3 linked regions of the Kluyveromyces lactis genome follow. The protein of the gene in region 1 purifies or fractionates together with the protein of each later gene. This does not show direct contact. Links are inferred from orthologs where the notes say so. Each region holds a gene or a part of one and is shown in the gene's direction. Other genes may lie near its edges.

What was found. Proteins that work in one complex are often made in the same cells at the same time.
Region 2: the proteins of SKP1 (region 1) and YPT52 purify together in Saccharomyces cerevisiae (affinity purification with mass spectrometry; 4 studies listed by BioGRID, with this or other methods). This does not show direct contact. The link is inferred for Kluyveromyces lactis from reciprocal best matches to the Saccharomyces cerevisiae genes SKP1 and YPT52.
Region 3: the proteins of SKP1 (region 1) and RAV2 purify together in Saccharomyces cerevisiae (affinity purification with mass spectrometry; 4 studies listed by BioGRID, with this or other methods). This does not show direct contact. The link is inferred for Kluyveromyces lactis from reciprocal best matches to the Saccharomyces cerevisiae genes SKP1 and RAV2.

Annotation. Positions count from the first base shown.
Region 1 is NC_006041.1:1,504,356-1,512,561, reverse strand, and holds SKP1 (SCF ubiquitin ligase subunit SKP1), read left to right. Parts: upstream 1-4,128; coding exon 4,129-4,677; downstream 4,678-8,206. Other genes in the region: DNA protein crosslink repair co-factor UBX5, read right to left, coding at 1-167; LRP1 (Lrp1p), read right to left, coding at 426-959; KLLA0_E16985g (uncharacterized protein), read left to right, coding at 1,409-1,927; PEX3 (Pex3p), read left to right, coding at 2,372-3,823; YSP2 (Ysp2p), read left to right, coding at 5,042-8,206.
Region 2 is NC_006040.1:199,106-205,903, forward strand, and holds YPT52 (Rab family GTPase YPT52), read left to right. Parts: upstream 1-2,406; coding exon 2,407-3,030; downstream 3,031-6,798. Other genes in the region: KLLA0_D02332g (uncharacterized protein), read left to right, coding at 1-115; KLLA0_D02354g (uncharacterized protein), read left to right, coding at 690-1,952; SCP160 (Scp160p), read right to left, coding at 3,341-6,798. UniProt on the Saccharomyces cerevisiae protein: Required for transport in the endocytic pathway and for correct sorting of the vacuolar hydrolases suggesting a possible intersection of the endocytic with the vacuolar sorting pathway.
Region 3 is NC_006040.1:1,583,121-1,590,583, reverse strand, and holds RAV2 (Rav2p), read left to right. Parts: upstream 1-2,627; coding exon 2,628-3,695; downstream 3,696-7,463. Other genes in the region: PSY2 (Psy2p), read right to left, coding at 1-500; ubiquinone biosynthesis protein COQ4, read right to left, coding at 1,252-2,250; SPC19 (Spc19p), read right to left, coding at 3,730-4,191; KLLA0_D18799g (uncharacterized protein), read left to right, coding at 4,537-5,940; lipoyl(octanoyl) transferase LIP2, read right to left, coding at 6,012-7,010; RKM2 (protein-lysine N-methyltransferase), read left to right, coding at 7,256-7,463. UniProt on the Saccharomyces cerevisiae protein: Component of the RAVE complex, which is required for stable assembly of the vacuolar ATPase complex V-ATPase under many conditions. May be required for transport between the early endosome and the late endosome/prevacuolar compartment (PVC).

The DNA of each region.
Region 1 (8,206 bases):
TTATTACCAGAATTGCTGTTCAACTGTCTCTCACCACCATGTTCAAAGAATAACGAGATGGCTGTTTCCAAATTGCCTCCGGCCATCTCAAGGAAATGTCTTGACAATTCATCGTTATCTGTACCGCAAACACCTTGGAAAGTTGAAATATCCTCGTCAGATATCATGGCTATTGAAATGTACTTCTTTTAATCCTTTTACTGGTCTCTGTAACTCTCTGTTGCCACTTGAAACCTGTATCTTTGGTTAATTCTTGTTCACGTTTGCCAACTGGAATTTCCTTCTTTTTGTTTCCCAATTTTAGTGTATTTATACTATACAACTTGTTATGTCAGTGAAAAATGCGATGCTAATTATTAATATAGAATGCCAGAATAAGACCCAGGAATACATGGATGAACATGCCAGGACATATTTCAGATGAATTATTTCTTCGATACTTTACCAGATTGTTTTTGCTGTTTTGATTTCTTTGTTCCGTCTACTACTCGATTTGCCAGTCCATCCTTATCAGTGCTGGTGGTGGAAGCCTCTGTCGAAAACTTAGTATGTTTCCCCTGAAAGTTGACTTTACTGATAGCAGGTTCCATTTTGCCACCTCCCAACGCAGATTGTAGAACTCTTTTTGCTTGTTCTTCTTGCTCCACCTCATCCTTCTCTTCAGATTCTTTCTTAGCTTCTAACTGTTTAGATTTATCCATATATGACTTACACCTTGCCAATTCGGCCATGATAGGTGACAGGTCTTTGATATTGAGGACTTTCATGTATGAAAAGCATAGTGAACTCAATACATATGCGTATTTGTTTGAAAGATCAAGTTTCTTCTTTTCATCTTGCAGAAGCAACAGTTGTTCGTCCAATGACTTGCTCGTTAGTTTGTTAATCTCACCACTGAGTTGTTCCACCTGTTTATTGAGATACGAGATGTATGGTTTAATTTTCTTAGTATCTTCCATGCTGGTAGTTGTATGTGGTCCGTGTTCTTGTCGTTGTCGACTGAGGCAGCGATGAGATGAGATGAGATGAGATGAGATGAAGCTGTATAATACCGAGATGAAGTATTCTTCACTGAATCAAAATTTTCGATCAATAACATAATACTGCGAATTTTTCGCAATGGAACAAAACGCATAATAATCTGCGTGCGTTTCGCACGTAGAAGTACTTCAGTAATATTTCTATTTCTTTATCCAGCGAAAATTCCATATTTGCCTGCCAAAAAAAAAAAAAAAAACGCAAGACATTACACACATTCATACCACATATATGGAGAACCTGTACTCAATACAGGGCGAGTAGTCCTATTTGGACTGTTGAAGTAACATCCACCCTCCGCCAGTATACTTAATTTCAACACTGGCCTAGCTCAAGAAGTACTTTAGTTTGTTTCTCGTCAGCATAGATAATGGTCGCTGATGACTTATCGAATATAGAGACACAGCTACGACAGGTTCGTGAGAAATATCGTGAGCAAGCACACTCGCTCTCGCCAAGCGATGCAGAATCATGGTCAACCTTGGCATCAAATTTGCAGAAAGTCGTCACAGAAATGGATCAGCTTTTGCAGCGGAACTCTAAACAGATGAACGTATCCTTCCTATTGAACCACGAGTCATCATCGCTTCAGGCTGGAATACAGCCACCGCAACCGCTTCTACAGAACCTATACCAAAAGAACGGGAACGACGAACAGCAGAACCATCTCAAAGTCAAACTCGATAGAACTGCGTTCTATTCGGAAAATTCCCCCTTCCAACATCAAATGGATCGGTCTGGTTCATTCAGACTCTGTCCACCTTTAGCACATACAAGTGCAGAAGATTACTTCCGCAACGATACGCAAACCCCAATTATGATCTCAGATGGCCAGATCCTGGAGAACTTGGCCAATCTTAAACGTCTCACTGAGATGCAACGCCAATAGGTGGATGTAATCTTCGTTTTCGTTTGAGATTCGACACATCACATATATGATCCATCTTTTATTTGAGTCATGCGAACGTTTTTGACCAATTATACACATATACACATATAATATGTATAGTAAAAGATAAAGCTGTAATGATACACTATAAAATATCTGTTGGCACCAGTTGCAGAACCATAGAGGTTCAATACCCAACGCAATTCTATCTCTTTGGTATATGTTTTCTCTTAAATCTGTCGAATTTGTCGCTCTTTGAGGGGGAAACAAAATTCGAAAAACATTAAAATAACTAACTAGCAAGTAAACATCAACATCAATAAAGTATCAAGACAAACAACGACACTAGGAAAGCTCTACACGCAATCTGACAACGGCTGTAGTGGAAAATCAATAGAAGAATTACATTGCTCTAAGTTATAAGTTATTTTTTTACCCCTCATCATGACTGGGAATCGATCTCTGGTTCAGAGACACAGAAAGAAGTTCGTTGTTTCTAGTGTTTTGTTTGCTACGCTATTTGCTACATGCGCTATTACGGTCTATTTCAGTAAAAGATGGTTGTACAAGCAGCATTTGAAAATGACGGAGCAACGATTTGTCAAGGAACAGATCAAACGGAGGTTTGTACAAACTCAGCAGGACTCGTTGTACACTCTTTATGAATTGATGCCGGTAATGACGTTAGTGTTGGCTAAGGATTTCGATCTTGATTCTATTGTAGAGGCTCTAAAGGGGAAAAAGTTACAGAAGAAGCTTTCCAAAGGTGAAATAGCTGGGAATGAGTTGGAAAATGAGGGCTTAAGTTCAGGAATGAGTGCGATGACGCCTGCACCCAGTGTGTCAGCGAAATCTCCGCAATCTGCAGATACCACTAGCGTTTCTGAAACGTCTACGAAATCCAAGGCCGAGCTTTGGGACGATTTGAAACTCAAAGCTATCACCAAGATCATTATCTTGTCCTATACCACATCATTATTGATGCTTTTAACCCGATTGCAATTGAATATATTGGCAAGAAGAGAGTATTTGGATACTGCCATCAATTCTGCCATGGAAAAGGAAAGGGAAAAGAAGGCTAATCAATACTCAGTCTTATCTTGGTTCTCTAGTTGGATCACTGAAAAGAGCAACAATTTACCCAGTGAAAAAGCTGACCCAAGAAACAGCGATGGTACTATTGACACGGACACAAGGAGCATTGCATCCACTGCGAACCCTGAAAAATCGAGATACGTTAACGAACAAGCTTTCTTATCCTTATCGTGGTGGTTATTAAACCGTGGATACCTACAATACAAGAGTATCATTGAACAATTGGTGAAAGAAGAGTTCCAAAATTCGAACCCAAGAGATATCATGACAATGGATGAGTTCAGTGGCAAGATAAGCAAGATATTCGTCACCACAAACAAGCAATTCTTTCAACAGCCACAATCGAATGAAATGTTCATTTCATGTCTACTTCCTGAACCTAACTTAGAGAGATTTGTTCTTCAACAAACTTTAGAACAAGATGCTTTGAAAGTACTATACGAGGATAATCTATTACTAAAACAACTTGTACAAGAGACCAACAAATGCCTACAATCACCTGGAACATGGATTGTCCTGGAGTCTTTAATCGATGAAACATTCCACACAATCATGGAACAAATCGAGGATAATGTCAACAGCAAATCGAAACCTAAATCGAATGATGACGACACCAAAGTAGTCGATATATCCAAAAATTCATATCAAATCGCATTATTCTCTATCGCCACGAAAGACTGCACAAACGAAATGTTGAAAGCGGGACTCGTATCAATGAACAACAAGTTCCTACAGAAACTACACTCCATCTCGGCACTTGACGATCTCAGTGCATGCGTATATAGTAACTTCGGTCTATGAAAACCTTACTTGGCCCTCCATTCAAGTACTGAAATCGCTCCATACCGTGTATGTAGATAGTTCTATAGTTAACGTTACTCTTTCACTGGCACTACGGGGTTTCTCTTCCTGTTTCTTTAATGGCCACGTGATCATAATTTTCTTTTCCTTAAGGTCAAATAACGAAAAGAATCGAATTCCCAACAGGTTGTCAATCAACATGTTATACATCTCAGTTAATGTTTGCAAGTGGATAGGAGCTTGGTGTTTGTAGTTAGTTAGCACCATAGAGTTACCAAGTGGGTTCTATTTAGTACCAGAAAATCATGTCCAAGGAAAACCAGAACGTTGTTTTAGTGAGTGTTGAGGGAGAGAGATTTGTCGTTGACAGGAAGATCGCTGAACGCTCACTTTTACTAAAGAACTACTTGCAAGATCTTAACAGTGGCGATTTGCATGATGATAACGATGCTGACGATGACGAAGATGATGAAGAGGATGGTGACGATGAAATAGTGATGCCCGTGCCCAATGTGAGGTCGTCAGTATTACAGAAAGTGATCGAATGGGCCGTTCATCACAAGGATTCCAATTTCCCCGATGAAGATGACGACGATTCGAGGAAAGCTGCGCCTGTGGATCCATGGGACCGTGAGTTCTTGAAAGTGGACCAAGAAATGTTATATGAGATTATTCTAGCAGCTAACTATCTAAATATCAAGCCATTGTTGGATGCTGGATGTAAAGTTGTTGCGGAGATGATTAGGGGCAGAACACCTGAAGAAATCAGAAGGACCTTCAATATCGTTAACGATTTCACTCCAGAGGAAGAAGCTGCCATAAGACGTGAAAACGAATGGGCAGAAGACCGTTAAACTTACAAGTTTTCTTGTTGTTTTCTCTTTCTGTATCTACATCCTCTTCAGTTTAAAATAGCAATTTCCCTCATTTCCCGTATGTAATCAATAATTTAAGTACTTGCTTGTTAAGCGGATCTTAATTGAAGTAGTGAATTTGAGTCATGGGCAAACGCAGGGATCGCTTTCATATCGCATTTATAGCTTCAAGGTCTGTCTCTGCACCGATAATTTTTCATTTTTGTACCTATATATAATATTTAAAGAACGCGCTACCTTAAATTGAAACTTTTTGCTTCTGGTTTTATCTATTCAAGGCAGAACTGCATCGATAGATGCACCATAGGACCCTTGTTACTGGTATACTTGGTGTAGGATTGTGATGACGTTGACCATTGGTGAGGAGACCAAATCCAGACTAAGATCGCTAAGCGGGAATACTAGTTCGTTGCTAAATTTAAACAAACGCAAGAAGAAGAACAAGGAAAAGAAAAAGGATAAGGACAAGAGTCAACCAAAGTCTCAGGGCAATACACGTGTGCTACGGTCTACGAGTCTGAAACCCAATGTCAATGATGATGCATCTGCATTATCGTCGAATTCGAGCTATGATAAGGTGTATTTGATGGATGGGAGTGACCATAAAGCAGGATCTGCGAATCATGCCTCTGATAAGAACAATGTTTCAAGCACGGGTTCAGGTATCCAAAGCATCAAGATTCGTAGTAGCAGACAGTCTGGCGAAAAGTCAAGATCGAGGTCGCTGAGGATTTCTACATCATTGTCGAGGCTTCCGAGAAAGAATTCATTAAATGCAGGAAATGATACGTCTTCCACTGAGGGTTTCAATCAAACTGCAATGACAAGGGAAGAGAACACTGATCCATTGGGTTCGAGGTTACGGGTAAGCGATAGCAAGGCTTCTCTATCTGACGTACCATCAACGACTCTGTTCACCAAATTCAAGTCTTCGAAAAGTGATAGTGCGACTCCCGTAAAGAGTAAGCCAGACGAATCTGATTCCGGCCTCTTTTCATCGCTAATATCGGCTGCACATAACGCTGCTAACCATTTGATACCCAAAAGTTCACTGAAGAGTAGTAGCAGCCTTTACGATGAACCGTCCAATGGAGATAGAACTCAGTTGCTGACTTCTGGTATTGGTGGTACAGATACAAGTAATGATCCATACAACCATACAGGCTCATTTCTGAATCATTTAGACTTCCTTCTTGCTCCCAGCTCGAATAATGATTATTTACTGAAGAAGGCGACGACACTAGACACCCTTAATACCAGCGACTCCTCTACATCTTCCATTTCTCAACAAATGACTAATCCGTCTTCTACCGTGCCGTTATACGATGATAGCGATCAAGATGGTAATAACAGTGATGATATTGGTTCTGTGGGAACTTTCATGGATAAAGTCAAATTTACATCAGTAAAGCAAGATAATGCCCCCCCAATTTCGACCTTTGGGAGGGGAAATCTAACTTTAGATGCCATTGAAAAGGACAAAGATGATCTCAAGTCCACCGGCTTTCATACACCAAGTGTGCTGATTACCACAGACCAACCAGATCGACCGGTATCGTCTCCGTCCCCACTCTCAATGCCTAATGATGATGCAAATACGGACAGCAATACAAATTCTGCCAGTCCTTCATTCGAAAAAACTAGGCCGAGGAACGGTAGGTCAAGACGCCCCGAAGTGTTGAGAGATTTAACTATGAGATCATTGTCGCCTGCTGCAGCTACGAAATTATTTACAGCACCCCTAAGAAATTCATTTTCGGGCAGAAACATGACAAGAGCGAGTAGCATATCCAAGACCAGTGATATTGTTCAACCACCTGGAGGACCAACACGCCTGTCAACTTCGGACATTCCAATAAAGAGAAAAACTGAAGAACCAGAACTTCAAGGCATTGAATATGCAAGTGCTAAGCGTAATACAGATTTCCATACAATCTTTAAAGACACCGTAGTATCTCCAATTGAAAGATTAATAGCGGATTACAGTTGTGCTTTATCAAAAGATATTCTCATTCAAGGTAGGTTATACATATCTGATAGACACATTTGCTTTTACTCGAATATTTTGGGATGGATGAAGACTGTTGTAGTTCCATTCAAAGAGATAGTTCAGATCGAACAAAAGAACACTGCCGTATTATTTCCTAATGCCATATCGATACAAACCTTACATGACAAGTTCCTGTTTGCATCTTTCATATCAAGGGACAGTACATTTGATCAAATTATGGATATATGGAATCAAACAATAATCAATAAAAACTTCAAGCCTAAACGAGGTACTATGGGATCTGCCGATCTGATGAATGATGAGAATCTGACTCTTGATAGTGAAGCTTCAAGCATGGATTACGATGATGAGGATGTTCAGACTAACGACCGGACTTCCACATCTATCACTGATTCCTATGGTAACCGTGATGAAAGTGATTCGTACGATGACGACGATACCGATGACATAAATCCAGATGATATGACAAGTAGCTCTGAGGAAAGCACAAATAGCGTGTCTGACGAGGCAAGACCCTCAGGACTTTCCAAAAGTTCAAATTCTCAAAGCTCAGCACAGTTGGGTCCTTCGAAACATGAGCCGACTACTCCCGACTACACGCCAAAAGAAAATGAACGAGAAATGGGGGAGACCATTTTGAACGCCCCTCTTGGTACAGTGATAAATATACTCTATGGCTCAGATGTCCAATACTTTGATCGAATATTAAAAGCTCAAGGCAACTATGATATCTCCAAATTTAATGAAATAATCCAATCCAAAAAAAGAGAATACGTGTACACTAAACCAATTTCCGGTAGTATAGGTCCAAGTAAAACTCGCTGTGAGATTACTGAATCAATCGACAAGTTAGATCTCAAAAATTACGTGCAGGTCACACAAGTCTCGAAAACTCCCGATATACCTTCGGGTAATTCCTTCGTTGTTAAAACAATATTCTTATTCTGTTGGGCTGATGACAATTCAACCAAGGTGAAAGTGTATACTTACGTGGACTGGTCTGCTAAGAGTTGGATCAAAGCGGCTGTTGAAAAGGGAACCTTTGACGGAATAAAATCTTCTACGAAAATTCTTTTCGAGGAACTTGAAGACATCATCGAGGAAAACAAAGGTAAGAGCAGCTCCCCAGATAACAGAAAGGATATTGAAGAGGTTTTATCTTCACTACCATGTTTGGGACCTAAGGAACACGAACCAACCGAATGCACTTTTGAAAAATCAAGCGGCTATGAAATTATTGACGATAAAATAAGTTTCAAGTCTCCTGTTGGTACCATCTTCCAATTAATATGCGGAGATGATACCTCATACATGAAGAGAATATTGGAAAGGCAAAAGAATATTGAAATATCTGATATCCCACCATTTCAGAATAAGACTAGAAAGTACACATACGTCAAGCCGCTACCAGGATCAATTGGTCCAAAGCAAGCAAAGTGTTACATCGAAGAGAAGATTGAATCTGATGATGTTAACACGTGTATGGTACTTGAACAA
Region 2 (6,798 bases), on another chromosome or scaffold:
CCAAAATGGTGTTGTACTTCGTTCCGCCATTCACTTTATTTCTACGAAACGTAAGCGACGGAATTTTCCTTCGAATTTTCCTTCTTATTTCCTTTGGGGTCCTCTTAAACTTTAGAAGGAAACAATGATGCTGCCAAAGGCTAGTTACTGCAAACAGAAAGAGAATTTTTTAAATGCTGACATGATCAACTTTGCACTTCCGTTGCACATAACAATGTCGAGCAATGGGTCAGTGCTAGATACCGTTCGCTGACAAGTTTGCATAGTTACGGTTTTCCCGGATCCTTATTTCTTGTGTTGGAACTAGTTACCAAATGTAGTCACCGTCCAGAAGATGCCGTGTGGATTCCTTATGGATGTCCGTTGGAATCCCTTTATATCTCTAATGGCAAATCCAAGGACGTCCAATAAGATGAAGTTCCGAAGTTTCCATTCATTGTTTGGAGAGATGGATTTTGAAAGAATTTTGTCCATTCGAACCGGTAACAACAAGTGACAAATGATTTGGATAAAGATTTGTTTTCTTAGTCACCGGCCGATATAAGAGGCAATTGATATTATGTGGACGCATGTATTTAAGTATATATATAAGGTTGGGTTTTAAGGTTGATAGTTAATTCAGGTTGGGTTTGGTGGCGACTGTTAGTGGTAGTATTCTTGAAATTAACTCGACTAACGTGCTTCAAACGATGAACTCATATGTGAATACATGTTCTGGTTTGGAACTTACAGCAGACCAATGCCAACGGTTGCTTCAGTTGTCTAGGGTAGATAGTTCGGTCTATCACTCTAGTTTCCAAAAGATTCTGCACTGGTTCTACCATGTGCAGCCGGATTCTTCTCAAAGTGAAACGTTAGCCATTATTGTGGCTAATATTTTGCTACATTCGTGTTCTATACGAACTGATGCAAATCTTAACGCAACTCTTATAAAATGTGTCGAGACCAGCCTCTTTGAAAATCCTTTCGATTTACCCAGATGGAGAATAATGTTCTTATTGGCACATTGTAAACCAACTTTGGCTCATGATGGCCAGGGTTCAGATCTAGATGACTCGGACCAGAAACATCATCAAATTTTTAACAGAATGTTGGCTCCACAGAGTTTCCAAACGATGGTCACTTCCTTGACTATGGATCCAAAACGCATTTCAATTCTTACAGAATTGGGTAAATACTGGTACGCTTTGTGTTTCAACTACGGGTATCTCTCTGCCAATTCTCGAGTATATTGGTCTCTCTTCACCGAACTTAGTGGAAAACCATACAACTCCGTGGCTGGATTTCAAGATTGTTTGATCCAATTTGGATCCCTTTACCTATTGCTACATACTCATAACCTGTCCGTCGAAAGAACCACTGTCAATAGATTCTTATGCATTTTCGAGGACAAGTTCAACGACTGGTTGCTACAAGCTTCAGAGGAATTGTATTGCCCCCTACAAGAACATAGATTACCTCAGATCCTCAACATCTTGGAGCTTTTGATAGGGTACTCTTCTCCTCAACTAAGGCAAGATATCAGAACCTGTTTTGTCTCGCCACATAACTCATTCCATTGCCCCTTCGTCAACTCCTCTTTCATTAAGTTGATCGAATCACCAATCAATAATATCTCGAACACTACTACTTCGATATTAAATCTTTTACATCTTAGACACAACAGGGAAACTCACAGATTGGAGCCTTTGCCTCCAGTTTCTCGTGAATCTTCAGTGTGTTCTTCCATATCGCATGATTACATCACCTACTCCGGACTACCCACGCCATCGGCAAACACCACCACTGCAGCATCAACTGTTAATTCCAACTCTTCAATGACTTCTATCGCTGAGCAGGATTCCGAGGCTGATAATTGGCCCGAGGAAGAACAACTCTTGGAAGCAGAGAAGATCGGGGCCGCTATCCAAAGGCTTAACGAGCTGGGCTTTGTTAAGATGTCTACTGAATGAGATAATAAGCATGCGCACGATACTTCTTTCACTTCATTTCACTTCACTTCACTTCACTTCACTTCACTTCACTTCATTTCACTTCTATTCGATTAATGTTAGCTACTATTTATTCTATTCTATTTAATCAATACACACCCCAACTATATTTATCAACCAAATCAGCCTCTTGTCATTGTTTTAAACGTCACGAACTCCCCTCAAATTACCAATCACGTGATCGACAATTCGTATTATCCAACTTAAAGGCTTTCAGTCATTGAAACCTTTAAATTCAGAATCAACAGGTTTCATCCCTTCCAGATAAAAAGATAAAAAAGTAGAGAAACTGGAACGAGTAACCGCGGGTAGAAGTCGTATTGGACATTTTGTTTCGAGCATTCACCAATATCAACCCCAGGTTTCCTATACTGCTGATTCTTTCTAAAATATCGCAATTTACTTCCCATAAATTATGCTTCAGTTCAAATTAGTATTGTTGGGAGATTCTTCTGTTGGAAAATCCAGTATTGTTCATAGATTCGTCAAAGACTCGTTTGATGAGTACAGGGAATCGACTATAGGTGCAGCTTTTCTTTCACAAACTATTAAATTATCTGAAGAGTATGATGAACAAGTTTTGAAGTTTGAAATTTGGGATACGGCCGGTCAGGAACGCTATAAATCTTTGGCACCTATGTACTATCGTAATGCAAATGCCGCTTTAGTTGTGTACGATGTCACTGAACCAGATTCTTTGCCTAAGGCCAAGCTTTGGGTTGATGAATTGAAAGAAAAGGTAAATGACGATAAGTTGATCATCTGTCTTGTGGGGAATAAGTTGGATCTAGTATCTGAAAGGGAATCGACCTCTTTAGTCGATGAAGCGGACGCACGCGAGTTTGCACAAGAGAATAATTTGTTGTTCCACCAGGTCAGTGCTAAGACTGGAGAAAACGTAATCAAAGTCTTCCAAGATATTGGTGAAAGATTATATTTGCAGAACAAAGATAAGATACAGGAATCGAAGAAACCTAATAATAATAATATATCATTGCAAAGACCAAGTACAAATGATTCACAGTCTTGTTGCTCATGAAGACGGCTTTATTCGTATGCCTGCATATAGATCTTCAGGCCACAATAAATATATATATACGTTTACGTATAACCATGAAACACACGCTAGCCCGTATAAATCTTTAACATTGAGGAACAACCGAGGATTTTGAAGAAATAGTTTTGTTTACATTTTTTGATATAGGTTTTAAGTGTATTCAGTATACATGATTAATTATGTGGTATTAATGTAAGCTTATGTAGTGCTAATCTGTGCAGCGTTGAACACCAATAGAGGAAATAAATACAAGAATTGGATCAAAGGAACGGACAAAGTGAAAACATTAAAACTATTTTAATCTCTTGCAGATCAATTCAGCTGCCTTTTTCACACCTTCTTCAGAGCCTAGGACATATATAACATTGTTAACCTTATCGCTTTTTCTTGGAACATGGATAACAGTTTTAGTGGCATTTCTGATTTCTCTGATATTTCTACCGTTTGGTCCAACAATAGAGTTAAACTTCTTTGCATCCTTGGACCAAACGAAACCTTCGGTGTTAACAAGTTTAGCCTCGGCGATTCTGTCTTCTATCAATTTGGACGCTTTTTCTAAGACTTGATCTTTGCTTTCTTCATCTTTCTTATAGTCTTCACCTAAAACATCACTCAAGTCAATTGGTGAGTATGTTAATCTCCATGGGATTGTGTCAACCTTAGCTTCAGTTTCTGTGACAGATTGAATGAGGACGTTGGAGCTTTCATTTTCACCACCAGCGACATTTTCAGGAACCTTGTAGTTCGCACGAGATAAACTTTGTGCGGTTCTAGTCAAGTTACCATGAGAAACATCAATAGAAAATTCGTTTCTTAACGTTTGGAAAATCAAACCAGAGTTAGAAACGTATGAATGGTATTTGGCAGGGACAGCAATTTCCAAGTCGAAACTATCCCTGATGATTTCTTTTTCGATTTTCTTCTTGCAAGATTCAATATTAGCAGGAGAACCAGAAACAGTGACCTTTTCATCTGAGCTGTTCTTGTTTGGAACATGAATTCTTACTTTGAATTCTGTCTCCAATTCACGTCTTACTGATCCAGCTGGACCAATCAAGGCACCAAACTTCTCTTGTGGAATATTTAGCTCCTCGGTAATGCTGTTTTCTAAGCCAGAAACAACTCCCTTAATTTGTTTGACAACCTTCTTCACAAAGTCAGATGGTCCGAAGATAGTGATAACCTTGTCTTCAGAAGAGGCATCAGGGATATTGACTCTCTTGTTTCTAATCTCATCACCACCAGCTTTGCTGATAATTTCTTTCAATTGGGAGCCACTACGACCGATGATATCGCTATAATACTTAGAGTCGATATCTTCCAGAGTAACTGTCTCAAAATTTGATGCTTGATCAATGATAGATTTGACTTTGTTTGCAGCTTCTTTGATGCTAGATCTAGAACCAGTGATTTCCAACTCGACTTCACCAGCTTCCTTAGCCTTTTCACTGTCGGTTTTGTCCAAAAAGTTTAACTCAACACCATACTCTGCCTTAATATCGTTGATAGTTTCACCACTTTTACCTATGACTCTAGTAACATAGTCGACTGGAACTTTGAGAAGCTCTTTATGGCCATTTTCAATTTCGAAGTCCAAAAGAGCCTTCAGTTCATCATAAGCGGCTTTGACACCACGAGATGGACCTCTGATGGTGACTAACTCACTGTCCTTAGGAAATCTGATGAAAACGGAGTACTTGTTCTCCAAACGGATACGATAAGTGCCTTGAGGTCCACTTAATGTACGGTGGTACTTCATAGGGACGATTAATTCCTTAGTGATAATATCGGACCATTTTTTAGCTTCTGCTAGAATATATGTTTTCGCTTGGTCAAGATTGTATTGCAAACCGGTCAATGTAACATCGGTATTCTCATCCTTAGAATCTTGTGGGATGAAAGTTTGAACGTCAAACTTTTCACGAATTTGTTGTAAGTTAGCACCCTTTGGACCAATCAATCTCGAAACTACATTGGTTGGAACTTGGAATGTGATCTTGGATTCTGTTGATGAATTCTCGACGATGGACTTGACAGCAGCGGAAGCAATCTTACATCCATGGTCATCACCTCTGATAGTAATTTGGTTGACTGAAGGGGTGCTCAACTTGATTAAAGCATGAGCGCCAGCATGAGAAACAGCTTCATTGATCAAGTTCAAAGTGACTTTTGATTCTCCGAGTAGTTCATCCTGTTCTTTTTTGGCAAGGGAAACAACATTGGATGCTAAAAGGCTTTGCTTCTTTCTGATTGGTTCCAATTGTTGGTTGACCGATTCCAGCTTAACTTTTAGTTCATCATCAGATGGCTTGAAATCATCTTCATTGATCTTGGTGATTAGTAAGATATCGTCATTACCTGGGAAACAGTCACCCAATTGAATGAATGGGACATCACTTTCAGTCGAGACCAAGATTTGCTTGATGTCCTTGTGGAATAGATGATAATCCAAATCTGAAATAGTTAACGTTTGTTCTGGAGATAATTCATTAACCAAAGCTACAATTTGTTTACGAACGGTCTTGATAGCGTCTGCGGCATCGTTGTTTGAAATTAAGGTAATACTGACGGATTCCAATGCTGGAATACTTTCCACTTTAGGTAAAACTACTTGCACTTGTGGGAAGTCTTCGGTAATTTGATCTAAGACGTTATATTTTTGGAAGTATAGAATCAAGTTCTTAGCATGTTTAACGTTTTTACCATGAGCTTTTGAAATTTCCAATGATTCCACGGTATGGAATTTAGATGAGTTCTTAGCGTACACGATGGCCTCATTGACGTTGTCAGAGCTTCCGATGAAAACGAATTGATCATCGCCGGAAATACTTGGAGCTTGTACTTCGACGTGGAACTTCTCATTCAATTCTGAAGGCTTTACCAAAGGATGGAATTTGAATGGGACCTTTTCCTTTTTCACCACGATCTTTAGACCCAATTCGTTCAAATAGTTGATCACCTTAACCTTGGCCAATTTAACATTATCACGAGGACCATTTAATGCGATTTCAGCGGGGTCATTGTTTGTAAACAGCTGCGCCTTTACATCAGCTGGAATTTCAACTGATTCTAGATCGATGAAGGGAACCAACTTGGAGTCCTCGACAGGAAGAACAATCTTGGCGTTTTTAGTTTCCTCCTTCACGACGTCCAAGATCTTACTCTTTGCAACGAGAACAGATTCAGCATCGCCGTGTAAAGAGATGGTTACTGAATAGTCTTCCAAATCTGAATCGTAGGTACCCTCATCAACCTCCTTCGGAACCACGATTTTTACACCAGCAGCATCTGAGATTGCTCTGATGGTCTTACCACCAGATCCGATAATGGCAGATCTAGTTTTTGAAGGAACTTCAAAAGTCACATTGACAGGTTTAGTCAACTTCTTGACCAACTCTCTCTTAGCAAGACCAATCTTGTCAGAAGAACCAGAGATCAAGAAAGTACGCGAAGTCTTTGATAGTGTGGATTCCACAGAGACATCGTACTTTTGTTTAACAGACTGAACGATGCTGGAGAATTCGGTCTTTGTGATTTGGTATTGTGCATCTAAGTCTAGCGAGAACACTTCCTGAATGTTTCTCGAACGCAATGGCTTAGCAGAACCAGGTGAAGAAGCACGTCCGTTTTTGCCATGGGAAAGAGAAGAGACACTGTTAACGGAGCTACCTGATTTCAGAGTAGACCCCCAGGAGACAGCATTGCCAGAAGCAGACGCAGCAGCATTTCCTCCCAATCTTGGAAATAAAA
Region 3 (7,463 bases), on another chromosome or scaffold:
TCTGTCTGGTTTGGTACATTTGAGGGAAGATTGACCGGTCCTGTTATTATCTCATGAACAGACCCGATTCCATCATCTGTCGATCTTACAGCTACCAAAGAGATGCGGCTTTCAATGTTTTTCTGTACAAAGCAAATATATTCACATAAAGAATCGCATCCAATGCTTTCTTCAAAGGATAAAGCTATATCCTGACCATTCAGATCCTTCCAGACAATAAGAGTTTCCTCTTGACGCTGGTATTCGATGTTTTGTTCGAGCCTGGACTTAAGTAAGACCTGGTCATCGGAGTCTTCATCGACCACCAAAAGATACGCCATTTTCTCTGCAGTCTGAGTGTCATCTATAGTACGCTCTTCCACTGTCCCCTGACAAAACCCTGTCCCAGTATCCTTCCACTCGTTATTTTCCAACACATAGACTTTCACGCGTTTCTTCTCAGTGTATACCGACTGTTTGGCACCATCCCCAGAAACATGCATATTGTTAGATTCAGACATATCTTATATTATGCTGATCGAAGCCCTAATAAATGGCAAGATCTCGTAAGCTCTTTCTGCTAATTGTGACCTGACAAAATAGGTTCAAAGTCTTGTAAGCAAAAGTTGCAATGCGTTAACAACCGAGTGAGTCCGAAAGAAAACTTGAATGTTTACACTTCGTCGAAAGCGTCAGTGACTTCTTCCAGTTAAAAAAAAAGGACAAAGAGGATTAAACACAAGCGCTATAAGAGCTTTGAAGTAACAGATTCTTGTATGTTCAATATCAGATTATCCTCCCCTTCCGCTTAAAACCCTCACAAGACACTGCTTCTCTTTTATTATGGGGTGAGATGAGATGCCCTGGTCAGAAGTCTTAAATTGGATAGTTTTTAACTTTGTTCTTTTTTTTCTTCTTCTTGGCCGCTAAACGCAGTGATAAGAAAAAAGAACAGTTTTAAGGCTGCAAAGCACACCGAGGGAAAGAGGACATCGTACTGAAGTTCGATCATAATTGTTTAACATACCGCGTTAGCAAATAAAAGTGTAGGCAGTGGTACTGTACGTAGCAAGGATGTTAGCTATAGATATATTTTTTAATCGATCAAGCAAAGGCGATCTTTTTCCTCTTCAATTGAAGACGTTTATTTCATTACGTACGTATTTCTATTTCTTTTTTCCTGGTTCCTATATCCACAGAATGACCCTGCATTATACTTTACAAAGCAACTTTACGCCAGCCATCACGATTTGGGGATTGAGGGTTTAAAATTCATTTCTCGTAGGTCTCATACTTAAGCTTGAACTGTTTTCTTTGTTTCGCTCTTTCCTTTCTAATTTTTCTCAAATCTGGAGGTGGTGTGACGTTTAATTCTCTTCTTAGTTCGTCTATGTCCTTATCCAAGATTTCTTCCCAATAGACATTGATGAGAGGTTTGCAATTCAGCCCTGCTTTGACTGCCCATGGGAGGTAGATGGAGTAAAGTCTTTCCTTTTGCACTTTCTTTAATCTCAATGGTGCTAATAGAGCACCAAGTGCAGCCATTGGGACACCAATGTTTGATGCCTCAAATGCTTTAACTGCAATCTCACCTTCGATTATGATTGGTAGGTCATTTATTGCATGATAAAAGTCATGGCATTGTCTATATCTCTTAAATATGAAAGCATGGACAGGATCATCGATATAAGTAACTGGTGCCCTTGTGTCTGGAGAGACCCCCTCTTTCATCAACCATTTGTAGTACGTATAGCCAACTGAATTTTTATCCATCTTTGACAATCGTTCCATGTCAAGGCTTTCCGATGTGATGTTTGGTCTGTCTTGTAGAATCCTTCTACCAGTCTTATCTAACAACATTGTCCGTTTTAAACTTTCAAGAAAGCAAGGTAGAGCAGTAGCTTCTCCTAATTGAACGATGTTCTCACCGTTCTCCGGGTGGAAATAAGATTTTAAACCACTGATACCGAAGAGCATCATTCGCTCATACCACCAAAGTGGAACATGACCCTCATAATTAGGTTCTATCGGTCTTGTGTTTCGTAATGCATTTAACCTTTCTTGAGTCCTTTGTTCCATCTTATGCTCATACTCTCCATTTTTATTATGCAGATTCCCTTTCTCCATAGCATCTGCTAGTCTAACATCTTTCCCAATCAATAGGTCTCCAAAAGCTGCTATTGCAGTAAATACGATTGTTCTCTTGCTATTATTCAATGGACTGAAAGCGTTACGACTTGCTTGTAAGGATTTCTTACTTACAGTAAACATTTGCGGTCGTCGTCTGATGCGTTTAATAGCACACTTTCCCTAATAATAAAAAGCTGTGTCCCGGAGTACAACTCGTCAATTGAGTCAAATCTAGAATCTGTGTAAACCTTGATCCTAATCCACGCCAGCAATTTCAATTACAACCACTTTACAATTTTCAATGATCTTCCTTTATCTCTAGTTAAAGTATATGTGGGTGAGTCGCATCAACTTCAAGAAAAGGTTTAAATTTGAAATATTCAGAAGAATCATCATACGAAAAAGGCAAAAGAATAGTAAAAAGGTTGACAAAGGAAAACGCCCATCTTAGCAAGGCTCTTGCTATCTACACGCTAAGGGAGCTTTGCTACATTAATTCTCAATTGCATAAATCCGAGATGACTACGGAATTATATAATGATGGGGCATATAAAAATGCTCCTACATATGAGGAGAGCTCTTTGTTACAACAGACATGGTTGATTAAAGAAATCATAAAGCCTGAGCTACCTAACGTTATGGACCATGTTGAGAAATGCATAAACCAACTATCTAGTCCTGAGAAATTTCGAATGCCTCTTACCAATGGGAATAGTGTCTCCGTTAACACATCAGGTGCCGCGCCAGACAGCACATCGATTAAAGGGACAATCACTAGACAGGCCGGATTTATAGTGGATTTTCAGGCTATCATTAAGCTTCCAGACTTTAGCAGGGGTAAACCAATAGTTCTAAAGATGGACCTTGATAAACAATTTCCCTTAGTTCAAATAAATGCCATAATTACAAATTTATCATCCGTATTGTCCTTATTTGACGAATTACAGCAACTTTCCGAATTACACGATATGAAACTTGATGATATTCATACTTTTCACAATAAAATTGGGAAAATATTGGAGTTACTTACACAATCTATTACATTATTACAAAATCCTCCACGAGAATTGGTCTTTCCGCATAATAACAACAGCTTCTTAAACGACAACTTCTCTGAATCTCATGACATTTGTGAATCAGCACATCATTTGGTCAATATGGAATTAGTGCTATTCAAAAACGAGATTTGCTTGGACATTAGGAATTTGACAAAAGTCATTAAAAAACCCTGGAGTGAGATCGATTCGAAAACTGGGTTATCATTCAGTGATAAAGTCAGAGACAGGCTGAAGCAAGACAGAAATGGAAAAATCGCAGAGATCCTTAAGGAAGAAGGCTTGCAAGTTGAACAAACATCTATGATAAACAATTTGATATCCAGTTTTTCAGCAACTGAAAGAATCACTCTTCCGCAAGCAAGCGATCTATTGGCTAGGTGTGTGACATTTAACGGGCGAGTTGTCACTGAATGCGAGAAAGTTTCAATTACCACCAGCGATCCTACATTGATTAGTGTCAGTGCAAAGTTGAACGGGCTTGAAAACAAAATCAGCAATCACTTTGTAAATATTCAAAATTTAAGTTAACAATGCGATAGATAGAGAGTCGGCGTATGCTTATTTATCTCTCTTCATGCAATTCCTGTATTCTTTGTATCAGTTCTTCTTTACGATTCTTTAAGTCTTTGAGACGTTCCAATTCTTCATGTGTCGAGGATACTATTACAACTGGATCCGATTTCACATTATCTATGATGGGGTTACTTTCTTGATTGTTGAATCGTAGTTTATTCAATTCGAATGTTTGTGATAGAGTGGCCCGCTCCCTTTCCAATTTGGTTAGAGCTTTTTCCAGTTTACTATATAGTTTTTGTAACAATGGTTCTATATCCTCCATCAAATCAAGTCTGGCCCTCTGCACATCATATTCTGATACCAACTGGAATACCCTCTTAGTTTGTAGCATATTTATAGCAAGTTTAGTGCTTCTATCTGTAGTGACCTTAGATACGGTTAAACATTTCGCCATGTCATCGACACATGCTGCTAAAGCATCTACACCCTCCGAAAGTACCTCTTCCATTGTGTCAAATCAGCTCAAATAACAATGCCAAATTATCACAGTGCGTTATCCAATTACAATCCTGCCGATCTATGTGAAGTGTTGTGTTTTCATGTGTATGTTGCGTAATGTTTGTTTACCTCTTTTCTATGTGGTGAATTAAAATAATTGTGATTGAAATTAAGTCCATTCTTTTCTCAGTTTCATGATTTTAGTATTATCTTCACAGAAGTGGTAAAGCAGCTTCAGCAGTATTTGCTACGAGGCAGTCTCTCCATTGAAGTGAATCAGAAGCCGAATAAGAACTTGCACTTTGCACTACCTTTTTTTGCATATGGTTTAATTGGGTTCTTATAAGCAGTGAATATGACTGAGAAACAAGGAAGTCGATTGGATCCTCTTTCAGCAAACCAGAGTAACGATAACACAAGCACATCAAAAACAAAAGGAAGAAGAGCTCGTTCCAACTCAAGCAGCAACGGTTCTTCGAATGACAACTGTTTGAATTCAAGTAATGACGCTCTTAATAAACTGACTTCCGCTGAAGATGAGAGAACACAGGCCAGAAACAAATACACACATGTTTTGGTTCTAAAATCGTTGAACAACACATTTGAGACTAAATTCTTAGTAGTTCCATTCAAGCCCAGTGGACTAAAATTGGGACGACCTGTCATTGGAGCTTCAAATTCTGGAAGTAACGGAGGACTTTCCGGCAAAGCTGATCCACAGGTGAAAGCTGATAATGGAAATTTTGATTCTAGAGTGCTTTCAAGAAACCATGCATCGTTATCGTGTGATGCTAAAACTGGTAAAATATGTATACGTGATCTGAAATCATCTAATGGTACTTTCGTGAATGGTAGTAGGATCGGTCAAACTGATGTTGAAATCAAAGTGGGGGATGTGATAGATTTAGGGACGGATATAGACACAAAGCTTGAACATCGTAAAATAAGTGCATTAGTGGAGGACATTTCAGTGATACCGTTGATTGGCGAAAACGATAAACTACTAGTATCAAATAAACGAGATTTCAGGAGTACACCTGCAAACAATGGGATTCCAGACCCAATGGTCACGATAACAACTGCTCAAAAAGCTGCGTTCGAAGCCGCCATGTTCGGAGATGTAAATAATCTTGACCTCGAAGATGCTGTATTGGGGTCTGAAACGGAAATATTGAGTGGAATATTTATAAACAATTCTATCGGAACAAGTCCGAATTTGATTAATATCATCAAGACCTTAGTGACAGATCTAACACTTGAAAAGTTGGAATATGAAAAGTTGAAATCGATTGACAATTTCATCGTTAATTATATTACAAAGCTTGAATATCTATCAAAGATGAAAATGGAGCAAGCGGACTCACAACTAGTCAAACTTCAGAAAAGCGTTAAACAGAAGCTTGCGAATCAACAGGCAGAACTAACCACCATCCATAATGAAGAAATACAGGCATTAAAACAAGAAAATAAGAAGCTTAATGACTCCCTAAAGGAAAATAATGACTTGAAAAATACTAAGATCAAACAGCTAAAAAGTGAAGTTGATGAATTACAGACACGTCTTGAGGTCGAAATATTTAAAAATACCCAATTACAACAAGCAAAGTCAAAACCGGTAAAGACGAAAGACGATGGTACTGCACAATTACCAGCTGTATCAACAGGTAGTAAATTACCCAGTACTACAACCAACTTGCTTTTATTAAGTTCTATCTCGGCAGGGGCTTTGGCTGCTGTGTTTAAATATGCAACAAAGTAAAACTAATCATAAATATCATTCTTAAAGTAAAAATTAATCTAAGCATTTCTTGCAGACTACGGGTGATGCGTCTAATCAGTGTAAATGGGTAAATCATCAAGTTGAATTCTCTCTACTGTGGTAATGCCCAAAAGTTTAGCTAATTGATTCACGAATGCAACTGCTACATCATTAACAGAGGTAGAACTATCAGGGACTTGTTCTCTTATGGAAGTGGCTTTTTTTTCTGACAGCCCGCACATGGTAAAACTGTTCATATAAGACAAGTCTGGGTCAACGTTAATACAAATACCATGTGAGGTGACAGATCTTCTGACATGTATGCCAATACTGGCAATTTTTTCTTGATTAGAGACCCAAACGCCGGTATCATTGGTTTTTTGGGTAATTAAATTCAATGGTTCATCTGATCCTTGGAATTTTGGAACTACTTTTAATGCGTTCATGGCCGCGTTATCAATAGTTGAAACTAAGCATTTGGCCGGCAAGTTCTGAAATGTCTTTAAATCGAGAATGATGTATGCGACTATTTGCCCTGGACCATGAAACGTCACTTGGCCACCTCTTTCAGCCTGCACAAATTTGGGTTTTTTATTATATTTCTGTTTTGATGGAATAAAGCCTTCATATCTGGCGATCTGTTCATCCGTAATTTGTTTCTTAACACGTTTTCCGCCAGTATAAGTGGGTTCAAATTGAAATGTAAGCACAATTGGATTTGGCTTCATCTGATTGATATTATCTAGTATCATTTGTTCGTGAAAATTCAATTGTATCTCGGCATTATGTTCTTTTTGTAAGTTTGTCATTTCTCTCTTTATCTTGGATTGTAGTTGCTTAATGTCAAGATGAGCGCGTACAAATTTCTCCTGAATATCGATCCCCGTTTCAAATGGGATCTCTTTAACGAATTGCAAGTGTCTGATTGTTTTAGCTGAAGGATCAATTGGTTGCGTACGGGCGGTTGATGTGCATTTCAGAGTGGATTGAAACCGGACTTTACGGAAAATTGTACATCCAAATTTTGAAGGGTACCAGTAATTAGTACCTATCAGCATCAATTTAGACATACTTAGAGTACTCTCTGGAATCTGGCTAACGCAGAATAATTGCAGGTGGTTAAGGCACCTATGTCATTATCTGAATTGGGGCCTTTGTTTATGCGGAAATTCAGAAATGTACTGTTCTGTTTTTTTTCTCTTAACAAAGACATCGCTGAAATTTAAGAATATGAAGCACAATGAAGCGATGAGCATACAGGAAACATGTTTCATGACGTAGCTTCAGTAGATAGATCATATCACGGGGTTCAACAATGAGAAATGATGAAACCAAGTTTTCAGATGGTAAGATTTCTAGATTACTAGAGTGGCTAAATGGGTCTGGAAAATGCTACGTTAATCCAAAGATCGAGGTATTTGAAGATCCGTTAGTTGGCCGAGGGATCAGGCTTGGCAACGGTATGTTGACCAAAAATGAAGTATTAATTTCCATTCCTAGTTCTCATCAGTTAAATTTTCACA